Rhinolophus ferrumequinum: one gene and its partner. The protein of the gene in region 2 interacts with the protein of the main gene of each other region in a pairwise test. Links are inferred from orthologs where the notes say so. Each region holds a gene or a part of one and is shown on either strand. Other genes may lie near its edges.

What was found. The genes of interacting proteins can lie anywhere in the genome.
Region 1: the proteins of MYO5B (region 2) and RAB25 interact in binary tests that used the Homo sapiens proteins (3 or more experiments, as listed by UniProt). The link is inferred for Rhinolophus ferrumequinum from reciprocal best matches to the Homo sapiens genes MYO5B and RAB25.

What each region holds. Positions count from the first base shown.
Region 1 is NC_046305.1:672,280-682,401, reverse strand, and holds the start of RAB25 (ras-related protein Rab-25), read right to left. Parts: upstream 4,460-10,122; 5' UTR 4,206-4,459; coding exon 4,163-4,205; intron 1,062-4,162; coding exon 866-1,061; intron 1-865. Other genes in the region: ragulator complex protein LAMTOR2, read right to left, coding at 5,642-5,698, 5,910-5,999, 7,564-7,726, 8,021-8,088; UBQLN4 (ubiquilin-4), read left to right, coding at 9,239-9,346. UniProt on the Homo sapiens protein: The small GTPases Rab are key regulators of intracellular membrane trafficking, from the formation of transport vesicles to their fusion with membranes.
Region 2 is NC_046302.1:41,028,053-41,037,855, forward strand, and holds the start of MYO5B (unconventional myosin-Vb), read right to left. Parts: upstream 4,368-9,803; 5' UTR 4,045-4,367; coding exon 4,018-4,044; intron 1-4,017. UniProt on the Homo sapiens protein: May be involved in vesicular trafficking via its association with the CART complex. The CART complex is necessary for efficient transferrin receptor recycling but not for EGFR degradation.

The DNA of each region.
Region 1 (10,122 bases), on a different chromosome or scaffold from region 2:
CCTCCTCGGGTCCTTGGCTCTGATCTTAGCCCCTGCCATCCACCAGCACGGACCTGGGCTCCTGGATGCTCCACCTCCAAGGTCTGCCTCACGTGGCTGCCCGACCCACAGGCCCGTCTGCTCCTGTGGCCATCCTTCTAGGGCCAGCTAAACACTGCCCCCGAGCAGTAGCCCTGACTGGACATGTCCTCACAAGCACCTAGCCCGGGTCCTCGAGCCAGCGGGAGCTTCTTCTGATGGTGACATCTAAGTGCTCCCGTTTTACTGAAGACTCAGTCCACTGAGGCTCGTAGAGGTCAGGTGAGCGACCCCTTAAGAGCCCCTGGCAGGCGCTGCCCCCACCACACACACACAGACCCCCTTCTCACATGTGGCCTGACACTGGCTGGGAGACACTCTCCTGTGGTGTCCTCTGAGTCTTTGTAAAATGCAGCAGAGGGGTCCAGCCCTTCACCTTGGTGGTTAGACCGTGAGGGTTGCAGTGCTTTGTGAGGGTGCTCTCAGCCCCTGGACCTGCCCCATCCCAGCCCCACCTGGATTCACGGGCTTGGGCCTCGTGACGGCAGCCCCTCACGGCCATGGTACCCAGAGGATGGCACAAAATGCCCAGTGTGAGGCACCTGCGCCTTTCTGGGCACACAGCAGAGGCTGTGGTGGCAATGACTCTTTTGGGTCCCAGTGGTCAGGATCACTAGACCGGGCCTCAGACTCTGTGTGGCTCACAGTACTGGTGTGTCCTCAGCCAGGGCTGTGGCGACCTGCGGTCCCTGCAGGGTGCACATGGCTGTGTGCCCTGCTTCCTGTGCCCCACCTGTCCTCTGGAGGTGTCCCCTGACCTCCCCAGCACCCCCAGCCCGGGGCTCACGCCGAGGTGATGGCTCGGTACCGCTCCAGGCCAGCCGTGTCCCAGATCTGAGCCTTGATGGCGGCGGTACCCAACATGACAGTGCGCGTGGAGAACTCCACCCCGATGGTGGTGCGGCTGTCGTGGCTGAACTCATTGCGCGTGAAGCGGGACAGCAGGTTGGTCTTGCCCACGCCAGACTCTCCGATCAGCACCACTGAAGGAATGGAGAGAGAAGGGCTGAGTGGGCAGAGGGCCCAAGCCTTCCTGAGCCCCGGGGTCTGCCCACCAGCAAAGGGGAGCTGAGTTCAGAAGACCGAGGAGGGAGCTGAGGCTCCTGACCGCTGGGCTTGCTGAGTCCATCGAGGCAGAAGGGCTGGGAGCTGGACGCAGCTAAGGGTCTGGTGCTTTCAAGTTCCCAGGCCCGTCCATTGAGACAAGGCTGCAGTCAGCCTGGGTCCGGGCTGAATGATGTCTGGGGCCTGCTCGTGGGTGTTACATGGGGACGTTAGCAGGGCTGTGACTGCACAGGGATGGCAGGCCTGGGGGAGGGTGCACATTCCCGGCTAGGGGACACGTTGTTGTGCTTGTTTCTCTGTACATGAGCTGGGAGGATAAGTGAGAGGCTGGGGTGTGTGTTTGCACAGGAGCAGAGGTGTGACTAGGAATGTGGGTGAGGAGAAAGTTTGGCACATGGCACGTCCGGAGGTGAATGTGTAAGAAGCTATGATCCAGTTGTCCCCTAGCAGGGTCCGTCTTGCAAGGTGAAGACTCTGGGGCTGTGTGTGTCCCTCAGCAAGTTATTTAACCTCTCTGACCTTTTTCATCCGAAAAACGGGAATAACACTAGTACCTGTCTTGTGGGTTGTTGCAAGAAGTAAATGAGACATTGCCAGGATGTGGTGAGTGTGCAAAACCGTTACTGCCATGACTGTGGTTGGTGGGTCAGTGCGGTTACCCTCAGGTTTTCAGGGGCAGGGAGCCGCTGGGGTCCAGTGGCGGCTGACGTAAGCATGACCAACACACTGCCCGGTACTGAGCTGAGCAGCAGGACGAGAGGAAGTCAGTCATCGGGGTGGTTCTGGAAAGGCATGCTGGTGCCCAGGGACTGGTTCCCTCTCAGCCTCTGACTAGCTATGTGACCTTGAGCAAGTGGCTCACCTTTTCTGGGTTTGTTTCCTTGTTTATAAAACCTAGAAATGCACCCGCCTCCAGCTTAAGGCATTTCTCATTTGTGTAAGGCAGGAAAGAGCTGGGAACAGTATGGCTGTGTGTGTGTGTGTGTGTGTGTGTGTGTGTGTGTGTGTGTGTGTGTGTGTGTGTTCCTGCCTCTCCCCTGCAGGGAAGCTCATCCCCACTCACCCTGCTGGGGGGTGGAGGCCTAGCCTTGTCCTCAGGCTCCAGAGGCTCGGGCCTTTGGTGTCAGACAGACCAGGGCTTGTGATGCCTTGTGACCTTTTGTAAGCTACATACCCTGTCTCTCATCTGCGTCTGTGAAATGGAGATCTAATTCTTAACATTTATCTCAGAGGCTTTCCACATATGAAGTCACTTCATCCTCACAACAGTGCCACAGGCAAGTGCCATTAGTTCCACCGTTGCATTTTTTACAGACAAAGGAAGGAGGCGCTTGGGGGGTTAAATGACTTGAGCAAGATAACATAGCTAGTGCGTAAAAACACAGGTGTGCTGCCCAGATGTGTCCTCCAGGAAGGACTTGCCCCAGCCCAGGGAGTGCAGTCAGCAGGCAGCCTCCAGCTGCCCGCTCCGCTCCTCCAGCAGCTGCCTCCTCCTGCGTGGGGCAGACAGCTGCCTCACCCGAGGTCACGCGCCCTGGGCAGCCTGCATCCAGGGCCCCAGCAAGGCAAAGGTATTACGGGGCTCCCGGCCCATTGGCTAAGGCTTGGTGACCCTGTCTTGCGTTTTCACTTCCCTCTCTGCCCAATCCTGTTCCCTCTCCCTTCCTTTCACTGGTGTTGGTCCATAATAAGCATCTTGCATCCTAAACTTCTGGAGACCCCGCAACCTGCAGTAGGTATTAAGCGGCAGGGCTGAAATCGGAAGGCAGTCTGCCTCCTGACCATTACGCTTTCAAAATGAAAGAGAACTTTGGGGGCTGTTGTGGTGATTAACGAGCCAGCGGCTAGCACACAGTAAGGGTTCAATAAACAGTAGTTACTCCTGTGTTTCCCCAAAAATAAGACCTAGCTGGACAATCACTTCTACTGTATCTTTTGGAGCAAACATTGATATAAAACCTGGTGTTATACTATATTTATTGCATTATATTATTATACATTATATTACATTGCATTATATTAATTATATTACATTATTACAAGACCCGGTCTTACAGTAAAATAAGACCGGGTCTTATATTAACGTTTGCTCCAAAAGACACATTAGAGCTGATTGTCCCGCTAGGTCTTACTTTCGGGGAAACACGGTAGCAGTGTGATCGTCCCAGACTATTGCTAACCTTTACCCTGTCTCCCTTCCTGGGAAAGATGCTGGGAGTACAGGTTCCCCAACCTCAAGTTGCCTGAGTCCCAAGTGAGGGCGGGGCTGAGGCTGGGAGAGGCAGTGGGGTGGGGTGGCTGGACAGGGAACCACAGCCCCGCCAGCCCACCCTGCCCTGAAGGGGGTGAGGAGGTGGGGGTGGCGAACAACGGGGGAGGGGAACAGGAGGACGGGACACAAACACGGGCTGAGATAAAGAGCAGGAAAGACACGTGCACACTTTCAGGGACAGCCACGCTGAACCCAGTGCCTGGCTTTACATGCCAAGGGACAGACCGAGGAGGCCACGGCCCCAGGAGCCCTCAGAGTCCTGTTAGCCCCTGCTCAATGCACAACATCTTCCCTATATCTCCACCTAGCCCCATGACAGACAGAGCGGGACCCTCCTTTGTCCCCTTTTCTGTATATCTGCCCAGAAAAATGACTTTCTTCCCCATAAGTCTGCCTGAGGGAAGTCCTCTCTGAAGTCTGACCTCCGCCCCTTCTGCTGCAGTGGCTGACTATTCCTAGGGATGTGGCATTAGGAACGGGCAGAGGAGCCTCACTGGCACTCTTAGGGACCGAGGAACACATTATTGACACAGTAGAGCATTCGGGCCGCCCCAGACACCAGACCTTCCCAGCTCCCTGCAGCTTTCTTTCTTATCCAAATGATGAGCCCAGGGGGTGGGGGGGCGGGGGCAAGAGGGTGGATTCCTGGTTAGAGATTAAAACCAAACAAAATAGGAGGCTTTGCCTCTGGCTCTGTTGGTCTCTTTCTGGGTTTCTCAGGCCTCCTCTTTCCGAACCCCAACTCACCCTTGAAGACAAAGTTATAATCTTCCTCGGTCCCGTTCCCCATCTCGGCTCCACATAAGAGGGTACAAGTGTCTTCGGGGCACAGGTGACTGTCTCCGCGTTGGCTCAGCACCTTCAACCTTCAGCTCTTAAGAGACCTGGGTCCACCCCTCCTCTCATTGGGGGTAAAAGAATTTCCGGCCGGCCAGAGGGACTGAGGGCCTGTGTCAGGCCAGGCAAGGCCTGGGGACGCTCCGCTCTGGCAGGTAGGGGTGCTGTAAGGAAGCTGAGAGGACGGAAGCTGAGAACAGGAAGAGCAGGGCACTGGAGACCTGGGGCCCAGGTGGGTGGAGACGGTGACGTCAGACAGGTTAGACAGGTTGGGTGTCTGCTCTCCGCCTAGGCTCCCGCAATGAGGTGAGCAGGCTCCAGGGGGTGGTAGTGGGGAAGCTGGGGCAGACGGGACCTTCCGAGAGACAGCTGAGGACCGAGTGCCTGGCGCTAGGCTCCTAGCACCTGCAGCCCAGGGGGGCCCAGCCGCCAGTAAGTGACAAGGCCCCTCAAGGAGCAGAAGCTGGCTTGGCCTCCTGCTTTTCCTTTAGAGCCTCTGGTGGGGGCCCCAGGGGAGAGGCTGATGGGGTGGCAGTCACCTATCTGTGCGCAGAGCTCTGGGAGTTGCATCTTAGGCCCGGCAATTCCTGCCCCTCCCAGACAGCTCTGGGCCTGGGAGGGGCAGCATTTCTCATACTGGGTGGAGCTGGAACTTGCTACCTATAGGCTTCCCTGCGATGGGTCCCTTTCTATAGCACTGGGAAAGGGGCTGGTAGCTTCCCGCCCACACCTGCTCTAAGGACACAGGTAGGAGGAGACCTGGACAGAAACAGCCAGGTGGGGTGAGGGGTGCAAGCGTAGGGCCAGGGTGAGGACACGAAGGCCTGAGAGGTCTTCTGGTTTCTCCAGATCCCTGCCCAGGACCTGAGGCCTCACCGGAAAGCAATGGTGTCTGCAGAGGGCTTCGAGACCTGGAGCTGCGCGTCAGAATGTGAAGGCCTTGGAGAGGAAAGGGGTGGCCCCCTCCCAACCCCAAGAGTAGGAAAGGCAACCCCGCCAAAGTCGGGACCTACGGACACTGCACTCCCTGGCTCTATATTCTCTTTGTTCAACATGACGCCCACTGGCCCCGTTCCTCGGAGCTCACTTCCAAGGTTTTGCCAACCAGGTGGGTGAGACTCTGAGTGGCGAGGGCCAGGTGAGGCCACTCCACTGGAGATTCTGGTGGGGGCGCAGGACATGAAGAACCCGTAAGCCAGTCCTGCTCCTTTCCATCCCCTGACTCCTCCCAGCCAAGAAAGCAACCAAGACGTAAGACAGGACTGAAATTTATTCTTGGAAAAAACAAAGTCCCTCCCCTCCCCCCACACACCAGGAAGGATTCCCCAGGGGGCCCTGCCCCTCCAATGGTCATCTCTCTTGCCTGACCCCAGCTTCCACCAGTGCCCCTTACGACGCTGCTACCTGGGTAAGAGGTTCTTCCAGGTACTGCACCAAGGCTTGGGCCTGCGGGAGGGGGAGGAAAAGCGTCCCACATGTGGCCTGCCACGAAAGGGACCCCAAATCCAGGTCGACTCCCCATACCGAGCACCCAGCCCCCAGCCCCAGTGGACAGGGACTGGGTGACATGAGGACCCAGGAAGGCGGTGGGGACGGGAGTGGACCCTGACGGAGCACAGGGGCCGGGCCCAGGTGGCGGAGCAACGAGCACACATACCTTGGCCTTGAGCATCCCGAAGCCGACGGTCTCCTTGGCATACATACACAGCAGTAGGTTGGCCACTCGCGTGATGGCCACACGGCCCTCCTGGTGGGGGTGACATCGTGGGATGGGAGGCCCTGCTTGGCACCCTAAGCCCCCTTTCCCCACGGGCTCCTCGTGAGACAGACTGTATCTTCCTTCCACGCCCCGGGCAGGGTTGGAGCTTCAGCTGGGGGCTTTGGCCACAGCCCTGGACATGGGGTCCTGTGCCCAGATTCCAGCCTCAGCACAGCCACGAACCAAGTCACCCCAGAAAACTCAATCTCCCAGAAACTCGGTTCTCTTTCTGTAACCCCTACCTCATCCCAGTTGCTGAGGGTACTAGCACACGGGAAGGAATTCCGGGCTCTTCTAATGGGCTATGTTATTATTATGGGTTCACCTCCAAGACACTATAAGAGGCTTGAGAGCAGAAACCCCACTCCTAGTTCTCTTTTCCAATGGCAATGTGTTTCAAACTGCACACCCGACGTCCGGGTTAGGAGATTAATTAAGAAGGTTGATTAGCATCGAAAGAAAAAAGGAAGGAAAAGAAGAGAAATGAAGAGAAATGCATTGCATGTAGTCAGGGAACTTGTTTGAGCGAGTGATTGTTTGCACGGGGCTCCAGCATCAAATGTGTTTCTTACAGCTGGGCTGTGGTCAAATGTTTGAAAGCTATTGCCCTATAGCACTAGGTCTGAGCTGGGCACCCAGGAGTCATCGGCTGAACTGGAATGCATCCTTGGCTGGAATGGGGGCCAGGAAGTGGTAGGTAGCTGAGTACAGTGGAAACCCTTCATTCTTGCGGCCTTCTCAATTCGGTTCAGCAAACTTTCACTAGGTATCCAGTGTGTGCTAGGAACCATGTACTGCCTGTCTGGCATCATCTATCATCCTCCCCCCATTCTCATGCCACTCCAGCCACATCTCCCTTGTCGATCTGTGACCAGGCACCTTTCTGCCTCAGGGCCTTTGCACTTGCTGTTCTCTCCATCAGAAATGTTTATGCCCCAGACAGCCACATGGCTTGCCAACTTCTTTCAAATCTGTGATGAAATGTCACCTGTTCAGTGAGATTATCCCTGGCGCATGCCACCCTTATCTCAATTCCTTGCTTTATTTTTCTCCATAGCGTTTTTAGAAATCTAACATACTATTTTTTTAACTTACATATTTTTTCCTTCCTCAAGGGATTAGACAAGGGTCTGGAGACTCTTATAGGCCTGTGAGTCAGTGACTCTGGCATGACAGCACTTTGTGTGTACCTCACTCTACAGTTTACATCCACTCTGTTAGTTGATCTTCACCACAGCCCCTTGAGGTGGGGACCGGGGTTTATTGTTTCCACCTCAGAGAGGAGATAAGGAAGCTCAGAGAGGTTAAGTAACTTACCCAAGGTTCCACAGACGGTAAGTGGCTGGCTGAGACCAGAACCCCAGGCAGACCCGGGGTCCAGGGCCCCTTCCTCACCACTGTGATGCACAGGGTTCTGCCTATGATAAATGGTGCTGCGGGCCAACTCTTAGCAATCTTCCCGAGATCCTGCCCCTCCAACCATCCGGGACCGGGTCCAGGTCGCCCCGGGGATCCCTTTGGGGGACAGAGGAAGTGGCTTCCCACTCCATACCATGCAGTCCATGAGGATGAATTTGAGATTGTCTTCATTAAACGCTTGGTTCCCGTTCCGGTCGTAGGCGGCCCAGATGTTACTGGCGATGGCGGCGGTAACCCGGGCGTCAGTATCCCCGTAACCAGAGTAAGCCAGCAGAGATCCCTCGTTATTCAGCAGCCTGGCGAGGAACCGGAAGGGGCAGCGACGTGCTCAGGATGGGGAGTAAGAGTCCTGGGTTCCCATCCCAGCTCCCGCCACTGGCGCTTCTAGAAAGCAAGGGTCTAGGTTGAGTGTGTCCTAGAAGGTGCCCAGAGCACCCAGGCCGTCGCTTTCCCCTTTCGAGAGGGGCCCTCCAAGGCGGCTGCCCACTCTGCCTCCTCCCTTCCCGGAGATGTTTCCCCACCCCTCCCTCGGAGAGCCGCGCGCTGCCCGACTCCAGTGCTCGTCGCTCGGGTCCTCGGTCCGCACTCACAGGGTGCTCTGGACACCTCCAGTGTTGGCTTGGCTCAGCACCTGGGTCAAAGCCTTGGGACGTAGCATGCCTGCAGCTCCCAAACCTGGGTTTTTGCACCCAGACCTCCGAACTGCCTCCTGCGGGCCTCCGCCAGCCCTTTCCGGTAGTTCAGCTGACCTGCTCCGGAACGCCCTGGGAGTTGTAGTTTCTCCGCCTGGTTTTGTAGTTTTGACTCAACCCCGCTTTACCGCGGAGGGCACTGGGAATTGTAGTTCCTTGAGGCCTCGTGAGGCATCCTGGGAACGATAGTTCGCCTTTCCACTGAGACCACGCGGTTGTGGGGGAAAAGAGCGGGAGTGAAAGGACATTGGCGGTATTGGAAGGACATTTAACCCCCTCGGGGAGAGAAAAGTCATGTCCGCTTGACAATCCACGACTCAGTAATTAAAAAAATAAAAAAATAAAATCCCTGTGTTTGTTAGGCACACCTTTGGTTGCTTTTCAAAGCAATTTTCTACATTATGCACAATTCTGGGTGATGAAGCCATAGATACTATTGAGGAAACTAAGGCTCGGGAAGGCCATGCAGGCAAAACCCAGGTCGCTGGAACAGTACCTAATAGAGTTCATTCAGGCCACGATCCTCGGGGGAATGAAATCAATTCTAGAGATGAGATTTTAGGTGGACGTCCAGAAGTGGGAAAATTCATCCTACCAGTCGGCAGAGGCCCCAGGCCCGAGAAGGATTTGGGCTTCTCAATAAAAGACCAGCTATCGCAGGGGACGGAGATAAAGCGGCGACACAGAGTCCTTTGTCCCGCAGCGGGAGTGACCCGTGGTGGGGGCAGGAGCTGTTTTGGGTCGGAGGGGACCTCGGCTCAGCTCTGGCCCGCTCGGATGGGCTGTGGTCTCCCGTGGGGCGCTCGCCCCTCACCCCAGCAGTGAGGGACTCGCCCCGCCCCCGTCCCGAGCGCCCCAGGGGCCGCCGCCCAGCGAGGCCCAGACCAGGCTGCGGGACCCCAGGCTCGGCCCTGGGCGGACACTGCTGCAGTGGCCCCCCCAGTCCGCCCGGGGCGCTGTGGCTGCGGCTGGTCCGGAGGGGGCGGTGAAGCCTTGGGGAGGGGAGGGGAGGAGAGGGGAGTGTTGGAGGCGCCGGAGCCTAGCCGGGCCGGCGGGGCGGGCGGGGAGGAGGAGGAGCCGGAGCGGGCTGGCGGGCGGCCGGGTGGCGGCGGCGGCATGGCGGAGCCGAGCGGGGCTGAGACGAGGCCCCCCATTCGGGTCACCGTCAAGACCCCCAAGGACAAGGAGGAAATTGTGATCTGCGATCGAGCCTCGGTCAAGGAGGTACTACGGTCGTCGGGGGGAGCGCGGAGGAGGGGTCCGCGAAGAGAGGGGGGTGGCTCGGGACTGCCGGGCGCAAAGAAGGGCCTGGGAGAGGAGGGCGGGGGCCCAGACGGCACTCGGAGGAGCGAGAAGGGAGGAGAGGCGGGTCAGGGGCGTCCTGCGAGGGTAAGTTGGAGGAGCATGGCACGCGTGTTGGGGAAGGGAGGCCGGGGTTTGCCTTGTGGCCTGGACTGGGGGCGTGGTGGAGAGAGGGGAGGGGGACACCTTGCGCAGGGAAGGGGAAGGACCCTGGGCTTGCGCCCCGGTTACTTATGGGGGTTCGGGGCGCCGAGGCAAAATGGGGGCCGGGCATGGTGCTGAGCCGGGAGAGCGCGCGGGGGACGCCGCGGAGACCTCGGGTGCCTACTGTGCGCTTGGGAGGACGCCCCGCCTTCTTCGCCGCCCCGGCAGTGGGGGGAGGATTTCCTTCTGCCCAGATCCTTCCTGCGCTTTCCAATCCAGGTGGTTACATTTGGTTCTCAGCCCTCCGGGATTTACACAGTGTGCAGTAGGTGCTCAATAAAAACGTATCCGATGAGGGAGTGTTGCCTGGGTTCGCCACCCCCCTGTGGCTGCTCCAGAAATTCACATGGGCGGGGCTTAAGATAGGCCATCTGGTTGGAAGGGAGGGATCTGGAAGCTGCCTGGCTTTGCAAGTGCACTGGTTTGGGAGCGCTGATAGATTTGGGAGTCTAACTCTTCCCAAGCCAGCCTTTAGTACCCTCGCTGCCCACCCC
Region 2 (9,803 bases):
TTCGGGAGCTACTTAGGAGACAAGCACCTACTAAAGCAGAACGCGAAACACACTGGAGCTTCCAAAAAACGTTTGATGCACCCTCTGCTTTCCAGCTCTCAGCCTAATAGAGATGTGGCATGACACAAAAACTGCCAACAAGGGGGGACAGGGCAACCTTGTTCAGTGTGTACAGGTAACAGGCAGAGAACATGCTGTGTGAACTGGGTAACAATTTGCCTGCAAACTTTGAAATTCTGATGGTTACCAGCAGGCCCCAAAAGGGCCCATTGCATTTATAGGCCTACCTGAGAAAGGGGAGCAGAGAGGAAAGGGAGTGGCGGCTAGGGATGGGAAAGGACTTACATTTGGGAGGAACCTGCACTACCTGATGCACAGGTAAGGGACAGTTCGAGTTCACCAGCCTCACAGCACACGAGTGCTCTTCTCCAAAGGACTGACTGACCCCGAATTGGAGCCCTTAGGATAAAGGCCTCTGGGCTCAAAGTCACCACCGTCATACACAGGGTGTGTCGACCAGTAAAGCAACCTCCCAAGAGCCCCCAAAAATCCAATTGCTCAGACACCACATATCAATTAAAAAATCAAGCAGGAAAGGCTTTTAAAGGGAGTGATTTCAATCTGGTGATTTCCCACTCCACTGGTTAGAATCAAAGTAGTATACTGAAAATCACAGTACTTGAAAGAGCAATACTTCAATTCTTCCTCCAGAATAACCCACAGTTGTATTATTCCTCCCGAGGGAAAGGTTACGTATTTTACTTTAAAAAAAAAAAAATCAGACTATCGTCTGCAATTATCATAATTAAATCATACTCATCATGCTTGCACAGTTGGGGTGTCTTCCTGGGACCTGTACAAATCAAAGGAGTCCCTATTGTCTTTTCCTGTGGGTTGGAAACAAAAGTAACACTTGCCACATCCGAGCCAGCTGTGTGAGAGCCCTGCGTAAGCGCCACCTTTCTGTAAGAGTGAATGAGGCTGACTCACCTGAACATCAGCCTCCAAGTGTATGACATGTACTCCGAGTTTCTTTTCCCATCCAGAAAAACCTCACTACAAAGAAAGCAATTTCTCAAATGTGAGGTGTTGGGTTTTCTGAAAACAGGAGTGCCTTTGTTAATGGGAAGGGCCCTTTGCCAATGACTCAAATCAACTCCAAAAAAAAAAAAAATATATGTATGCACAGCACATGAGCCAGCCGAAGAGAGCTGACAGAGAGCAAGAAACTAACTTGGAGGGAGGGAAAAGGAGGAAGCCTTCTCTTGGATAACTAGGAATAGACTAATACACTAAGTTCTTACCTGAAACTATTTATACTTAGCTAATTTATACATTTAAGTGCCTCATTCGAATAATGTCTTCCAACTGTGTCACTAACGCAACAGGTATAATCAACAAAGGGCTTCAAAATTTCCATCCCAGGTGTAAATACTGCTGGCATAATAGATAATTATTCCCATCATATATAATACACTGAAGGGTGTGCCTGGATCCAGTATTCATCACATTAGAAAAGCCCCACTAGCCGGTTAAAAACAAAAGGGAACACTGGCTACTTTGATAATACACAAAAATGAACAAATCATCTCCCCCAAGAAACAAAGTGAATATAAATAGCAGACACAATTTCTCTGTATAATTTATGAGTCATATGCATACAGAGAATCCAGCTTAGCAAGTGAGGTGACAATGGTTAGGAAACAATGCACCGTTTCTCATAGTAAAGCCTAACTGCGTAAGTGTGTTTAACTCTGCCAGGAAGAAAAATAACAGCAACACAATCTTGAAGATACAGCATTGGTCATGGAAAATCTTCTCAAATTCAGATTTATAGACTTAAAAGTGTTTAAGAACTAGAAACCTATTAACACAGGGATATACAGTCCCCCTAGCCCTAGGAAGAAAGTCTAATACTATTTGGATTACGCCAACTCTCACACCAATAAACTTAAAAATATGTGTCTTGTATGTTCTCCCAAGACCTTTGCCTGGTGAAACAGTTTTGTCCATCTCCATAAGTCCAGAAAAAGTACACTAAAACTTTAGCTCAGACTACCCCTAATTCATTTGTAATAGTTAATACGCAATATACTCATTTCTAACATGCAATAAAATTTTTAAGATTGAGTGGTCTCCTCTGAAAGTGTTGTCTTTAAAAGCAATCCAATATTAATTCTTTTTCCAATAATCAGGGCTCCAAAAATTAAGGGTTTATTCAGTTATCCATTAGCTTCATATAACGTTGCAATCATCTAATAAAAGACTTCAGGATACATTGCAGGTATATTCACTTAAGTCACTCATTTCACTTGGGAGTACAAGTGGCATTTTCGTGAACTTTCCTGTAACAAAGCTCAGCCCTTTATACTTCAGATTTTTCCCTGACTCACAGGTTTCCAACCTTCAGTCAAAGTTCCTGATAACCCACGTCAGGGAAAGAACTGAAGCCTGGAGCTCTGAGAGCTCCTCCCACGGGTAAACGGGGTGGGGTGCTTTTCCAAAGCCAGAAGCACCCGAGATTCCCCACACACACCCCCACCTTTCCGGGAATCTACCCTCCGACCATTCGTGATCGCTGCTATCGCTGTCAGGGAAAGCCTGGTGGGGATGGTGCAGGTGTCCCCGGCTGCTGAGACCCGCCGCCAGCTGACTTACATCCTCTGCGGTGGCGGCCTCAGATCATCCCAGTTCAGCCCTGCCCCGCTCCCGGAGGTACGATGAAATTAGAAAACTTGCTAAAGGAAAAATAGCCAGCCCACCCAACAGAAGGACTGGCCCACGTGCGCGGCAGCGGCAAGCAATCGCCAGGTGAGAAGGCGGAAGTGGCCCTTCCTCCTCCACCCAGACCTGTTGGCCCGGTAGGTGTCCTGAGGATCGCACACCCACGAGTGTGCGTGCACCCCCCCCACACACACACACACCTCTGCATAGAGGCGAGCACAAGGCATTGTCCAAGGTGCCCCGGCCACAGCCAAGACAGGCAGGCAGGAAAGGCGTGGGAACATCCAAAACTGAAGAATGGGTTGGAGGTGGGCACGTGCTTTAAATGCCCCGACCCCTCTCACCCCCAGCGCCAGGTTGAAACTCGAGGGTACCTCGGCTGCGGCTGCGCACCAGTGGGCGTAGGGGGAAGCGGTGACTGGTCCCTAACTTTAACCATAGCAACTGCCGCGGAAGCGGGGCGTCTCCACTTTTCTGTCCCCGACTGAGGACGGAGCCCCATACATCCATTCTAACCTTGCAGGCACCCTGGAAATCCACACTCCACACCACCCGCACCCCCGCCAGGTTACTCCAACCCCCTCCCCACAGTAACTGAAGCCCTCCCGGTACCCATCCAGAGGGGTCACCTCCGAGTGCCCCTCCCTGTCAAACTATGAATGCGCTTCCCTGGGATCTCCAGCGATCCCATGGCTTACGTCCCTCCACACCTCCAGCCGCTGCACCCCTCACACCTCGTTGGGACCCCTTCTCTCTCCACCCCCAAGTGCAGGAACATCCCCTCCAAGTTCAGGGTTTCCCCTCATTGACCTCGGGAGAAAAGGAAGGCTTACAAGCCTTAGTGGGTCGACCTTGGGAGCTCACGCTGAAGAGCACCTGGGGTAGGGTCCGTGACTGAGATGGGCGCCACCGCAGGGGGCTGTCCCCACGCAGCGGGTTCCGAGCTGGCCCCCGCGGTCGGTTCGGGGAATTCAGCCCGAGCCGAGCCGGAGTCGGGGCGAGAAAAGCGATGACCGAGTGTCGGGGAGGAAACCAGAGCCCTAGCCAGGGACAGAGCCGCGGCCGGTCAGTGCCAGGCGCTCCCCGAACAGCCAAACTTTCTCCTCCACCCCGAAGTTAGGGGCGCCGAAGAGATGGTGAAGGGGAGCTTAAGAGGCATCTCAGGTGCCCCCCGGCTCCTGGAGCAGCAGGAGAAGGCGCCCGGGAGGGCCTCGGTGGCCTGGCGCGCACCGCCCCCGCCCCACGCAGCCCTCACCTGTGCCCGCCCGGCCGCGGCGCGCGGCCCGCACTCACCTGGCTGTAGAGCTCGCTGACCGACATGACCCCGCGGGCAGGGCCGAGCCCGGGGCGCCGTGCCTGCAGACTGCCCTCGCTCGTGCCCCGGCGGCGGCAGGTCCCGGCTCCTCGCTGCCCCGGTGGCTCTCAGTCCACGGCCAGCCCGCCTGGCGCCATCTTCCTGGGCTGGCCGAGAGTTTGTGTGTTTCTCGTCCCTTTCCCCCGACCTGTCCCGCCGGCTTCCTGGAGGCGCCGCGACCGGCTCGCTCCCTGCCGGCGCGACCTTTACTCCCGCGGCAGCGGCGTCGCTGCGGCCGGGCCGGAGTTGCGGGCGGGCGGGGGAGGAGGCCGCGCGGCGCCGCTCCCGGCTCAGGTATGGGAGGAGGTGCCGGCGCCGGGCGGCGGAGGGAGGGAGGATAGCGGGCGTCAGAGCGGGCGGCGGGTGTGTGCCGCCGCGCCTTTGCGCCCAACGGGGCCGGGCTGGACGCGCCCTCCCGCGTCCCCGCCGCCGCGGGGTCCTCCGGCCTGGGGGCGGGGCGGGCGAGGAGCGGGCGGCGGCCGCCCCCTGCTGGACGCCGCGCGCACGCGGGACAGGTGCGCGCCGGCTGCCGCACCTGCCGCGCCACGCTCCGGGTCCACGCGGGCTGTGCCTCGGGGGGTTGTGCCGGGGATGGAGGACGGACAAGTACGCAAGAGGAAAGTAACCAGAGAGGCGAAGAGGAATAAAAGGAGGGATGTCTACGGCGGAAAGGCTCCATACACTGTCCTCTGTGTTTTACGAGGCTGTAGCCAATACTTTCATTATTTAAATTCAGTTATGTCGTAGATTGTTATGAGGTGACGGGGCTATGCCAAAGATTGTCTCCGCCAAGATGGGCTCCCTGCGCTGAAATCTTAATCAGAAAGGTGGGAGTCGCAACTCTTCTCCACTTTGTTTGCCCGTCCCCGCCTCCCCCAGCTGCCAAGTAGGCACCCGCCACCATCTGGGAGGATTGTTGGCTTCTCTGGGAAGTGTCACGTTTTCTCCCCTCGCACACTCTCAGTCCCTCTGCTACTACCTACCTCATCTATTTTTGTCCCCTCTGCCAGTGGCATGTGGCTACCTGCAGCAGCTTCAGTCCCTCTTCTACTTCCAGCAAAAAGTAGACATTTCAGCCAAAAAAAGAAAATAATTGGCAGGAGTAGGTGGAGGGAGAGCAGAAGCTGTAGGAGGCGATGGGACCTTGGTTTTCTGAAGGTGACATTTGTACCTGAATGAGGAATGGCCTCTGAAGGTGGTTCCCAACCAAAGCGTCCATCTACACCAGCTGGAACAGTTGTCCTGGAGTCCTGCCCTGGAAGGGTTTTTAAACTCATCCTATTTAAGGGCTTCCCACCTGGCGTGCAAGATCCCCTTTTAATTCACGTGTCTGGCCCTTCTTACCTGTGCCTCCTCCATGAGAATTATCACCTGGGGAGCTTTAATAGCTCTAAGAAAGGCCCCCCTCAAGAATTCTGGTATATTGGCCAAGACTGGGACCTCAATACCTGAATTGTTTTAAGTTCTTCTGTAATTCTAAAGAATTGTCCTTTCAGGATTGACAAATGCAGTAACGAAAGCTTGGGCAACTCTCCTTGGAGCTGAAATGGGAGCTCTTTCTATCACTGGCAAGGGCAGAAAGGAAACAGTTCCATCCTTTCTCACTCAAAAATTTGTCTGCATACTTTCCTTCCCTGTATTCTAGTAGTTCTCCAAGTGTGGCCCCAGGGCTGTCAGCATCACCAGGGAACTTATTAGAAATACAAATTATCAGTCCTCCGGCAGACCTCCTGAATCAGAAATGCTGGGGGTGAGGCCTGAACTCAGCATTTTCACACCTCCCTAGGGTTTCTCCCCCTGGGACAAAGACAGCCCCCTTGGGACTATCAGTTAGTTCCCCACCGCTGCCCCAGGTAACCTTAGCTTCTCCACCATAGTGCTCCACCAGCAGCCCCTTCTCTCTACCAGCAACTCTCCACTGGCTCTTGACTTTTTCTCTGTTCTCCTTTCCAGCTTGTACCAGCTGGCTCCACTTACTCACACCCAGTCCCTCCAGAATTCATTGGCTCTCAACACTTTCTGCACATTGGAATCGCTTGTACAAAAACGAGTGCCTGGCTTCCACTCCCAGAAATTCTGTCTGGGGTGCTGCCTGGGCAAAGGGATTCTTAAGAGCTATGAAGTGTTTCTAATGACAGCCAAGGTTAAGAGAGCCGCTGCCTTAATTCCTTCCTTAGCGGTTCCTCTCAGCCCCATCCTAGTGAAATTGCATTCTTCCTCTGAAGCACAGGGTCGGGGGAGAGGGAGAGAGTAATGGACTCTCCCCACCATGTTAATCTGTCTCCTCCTATCACTTTTCTCCTCTTGTCTTCCCAGCCTCTCTAACCACACCTTCTCCATGTCCTTTTCTAGCTCTGCTTTTTCTTCCTGATTCCTGAGTAAAACTGTGGCCCATTTCCCAGACCTCGTCCTTCTTCCTCTCCACACCCCGTTTCACCGCTTACCACAAATCCAATTCTCATCTTAATTTAGACCCACCTTTCCACCTGCCAGACAGGCAGCACTTGCAATCCCAATGAGACCTCTGGCTAACCTGAAACTCATTTATTTCCATCCTTCTTCCCCCGACCCGGTTCCAACTTTCTGGCTTCCATCATACCTGGCACAAATTAAAATCTCAATTCACGCTGATTGAACTGAACCACATCCCTGAGAAGACTACTACTCTTGGCCAGAACTCTGTGAATGTCGAATCCCACAATCAGATATGCTCTTTCCCTCCTTTGAATAAAAACATTTGAAAACTTACTTTGTGCCAAGGGAACTTGCCAAGTGTTTTACTTCTGTGATCTTGTTTGAGCCTCAGAGCAACCTCTGAGGGAGGTTCAGACAGAGGAATGGTGAGGGCTGGGGGCCTCAACAAGAGAGATGGGGACATCATAACTGCTTTCATATATTTGAAAATCTGTCCTGTGAAAGAGATGAGGCTGGTTCTGCTTAATGAAAGCCAGACCCAGACCACAGGGAGGAAGTTTCCGGGTGATAGACATCGGACAACCATGAGGGACAAGTACAAGTTCTAGTAAGAAAAACTGTTCATGAGAGGAGCAGGCATCTCCTGAGAAGGGAGCTCGCTTTCCCTGGAGGATTCAAGCAGAGGCTGGATTCTCATTGTCAAGGATGCTATAGAGTCTACCAGTCAGTGGGAGGGTGGGCTATACCCCTGCTGAGAGGCAGTGGTTGCCCCTGGTGGCTGCCTTCCATATCCCTGGTGTATGACACCACAGCAAGTTCAGAGCTGGTGTCATAAATGCCACATGGCTAACCTCAGGGAAGAAAACCCCCCTTTCAAAGCTTGTTCCCTGGGAAAGTTTGCTGTTAGTCCTTTATAACTCAGTAATTCGGTCCTGTGTTCCCTTTAGGAGGGTTTCATTTAAAGCTTGACTTGAATCCTAAATGGAATGAAACGCTTTGCTTCCTACTAGGCATCCTGACTGCTGCAAAAGGATTGGATTCTTTTCTGGGGTAATAGGGAGAGGGGTGGACTTTACGCTCTCCCAGACCCTCTGAAATCTCTTCTCCATAGACACTGTTCACAAAGCCAAGGGCTATTGTATAAATAATTGTTATGAAACACACACCTCTGAAAAAAATGGAACGACAAATTTATTGGAGCTTGGATGGAAAGAAGGGAGGAGAAAATGAGGTGGCATGGATCAGAGTAAACGTAACTGCATCAGCCTGCATGCCCACGGTCTGCGCATGCCCACAGAATTAATTCTGAGCCTCTAGTTCTCCAATATCTGGGCACACTCACTGCCACCTTGCTCTCAGGTAAGCAGTTCCCTTCCCAGAAGACGGCCAAAGCCACAATATAGTTTGTCCCTAGCATCTTGCACCCTCTTCTGGACACTTCCCAACAGCTAGTTTTATTTTTGCGTTTTCTCTCATTTTCAATATTTCATAATTCCCTGATCTTTCAAAGAATCAATTTTACCATCTCATTTTATAAGAGAGAAAACTGAGGCTCAGAGAGGAGGTGGGACTTGCCCAAAGCCACACAGTTTGTTGGTGGCCAAACTGCTCTTGGCCTGGACATTTCTAGGAAGAACTAGGAAGCTTGAGTAGCAGAGGATTTCACTCACAACCTCCCTCCACCTGCCTTGCTCAGAAAATGTATCTTTCATCCCATGTCACCCATTAATAAATCAAAATTGAACCATTAAACCGAGATCTTGCTGTGGGGCCCCAGTTTCTACCTGATTCCAGGTGAGACTCCCTCATGATGAAGTAAGGGAATCAGAGCCAGAGGTTGGGCTGAGGACGGGCCATGGGGCTTGTATTAATTACCTAATCCTGTAAATGAGCAAAACCTACCTGGAACCTGCTGTTTCCAGTCCTACGCATCCTTTAAGGCCATGATTCTCAGTCTTGGCTACACCTGGGAATCACTTCAAAAAGATGGATCCCAGTGTCTCATCCCAGAAGCTCCAATTTCCTTGTTCTGGTCTTTCAACACTCCCAAGTAATCCTGAAGCAGAGCCAAGGTTGAGAGCCCCTGCTTTAGGGCCAAACCCGTGTTTCACCTTGTCCACGAAGCCTTCCATCACCTAATGGATGTGTGACAATACTGCAGTGTGCTGGGTCCTGTGCCAGTCCACGCGGAGGTGGCTTCTCCAGGGCCACCCGCTAGCAAACACCTGCCGGCACCTCCGATAATATTGGCATCCCAGCCTCAGCAGCTTTGGAGTGTGGGGAGGCATATCATTTAGGATTTTATTTTTATGCTCTAGCTAAAAGATTATGGTCTACTTCTATTTCAACATGTGTTACTCCATAAATTAGGCTGTGAAGTTCTCCTAGACATAAGTTGTCTTTTGACTCAAGCATCTTGCTATTCCTGCTCAAGCTGGTTTTAAAACTTATTCCTCAAGTGGTCAGAGAAGTAACTGTCCGGCCCCTGGCCCCACACTCCGCATACCTCTGCACCACTTGCAGGTAAGCTCAGCCCCAGGAGCTGCAACCAGTTGTAAGTCTAAAGTCAGCAAATTGTCCGACTCCGTCTTGATACTCATCTTGCCTTGAACTACTACCCAACCCCAATAATTGGAATCCTGCTTTATTCCCTACAACCAAGCCGCTGTCGCAGTCTCGTTCTAGGAACCGAATCCTTCTGTTGTCCTACTGTCCTCTTCTTTACCTCCCTGCCATAGCCAGGTTTTCCTGGAACAAGACTCAGTGTTACCCAGCACAGTCTTCCCTTCATCTATGATCCCATCTTTAAGCCCAGGTCTCATGACTTTGTCCCAATGTTTGCAGCAGTTCCTTCTGGATACCTAGACCTGCCTATATCTTGCTTCCAGATTCCCGATGCTATGATGACTCACCTGTCAGGATTCCTGTGACCACTGCTGGGCCTTCCCAGACTTCCTGCTCCCCCACCCCCACCAGGAGCTGCTTGGCTATTGGGTCAGTGGTTCTTAATCAGAGTCCCATGGAGCACTGAGGAAGCACTGAGAACTGTCACTATTGGACCCCCAAATACTGATTACAATGTAAAATTAATTTTTGTTCTGACTGAAGACACACACTTTTATGAACAGGATGCCACTTGCTTTGAGAGGGAACAAGGAAGGTAACATGTTTGCTGGCACATCCCGGGCTGAGCGTGTGGGTGGTGCAATCAAGCACCCCACCAGCGTGCAAGAGATCAAGTGCAGAGCAGACCGGCCTGGGTGCTTCTACAGACACTGGGAGACATCATGCTGCTGCAGGAATGGCCATG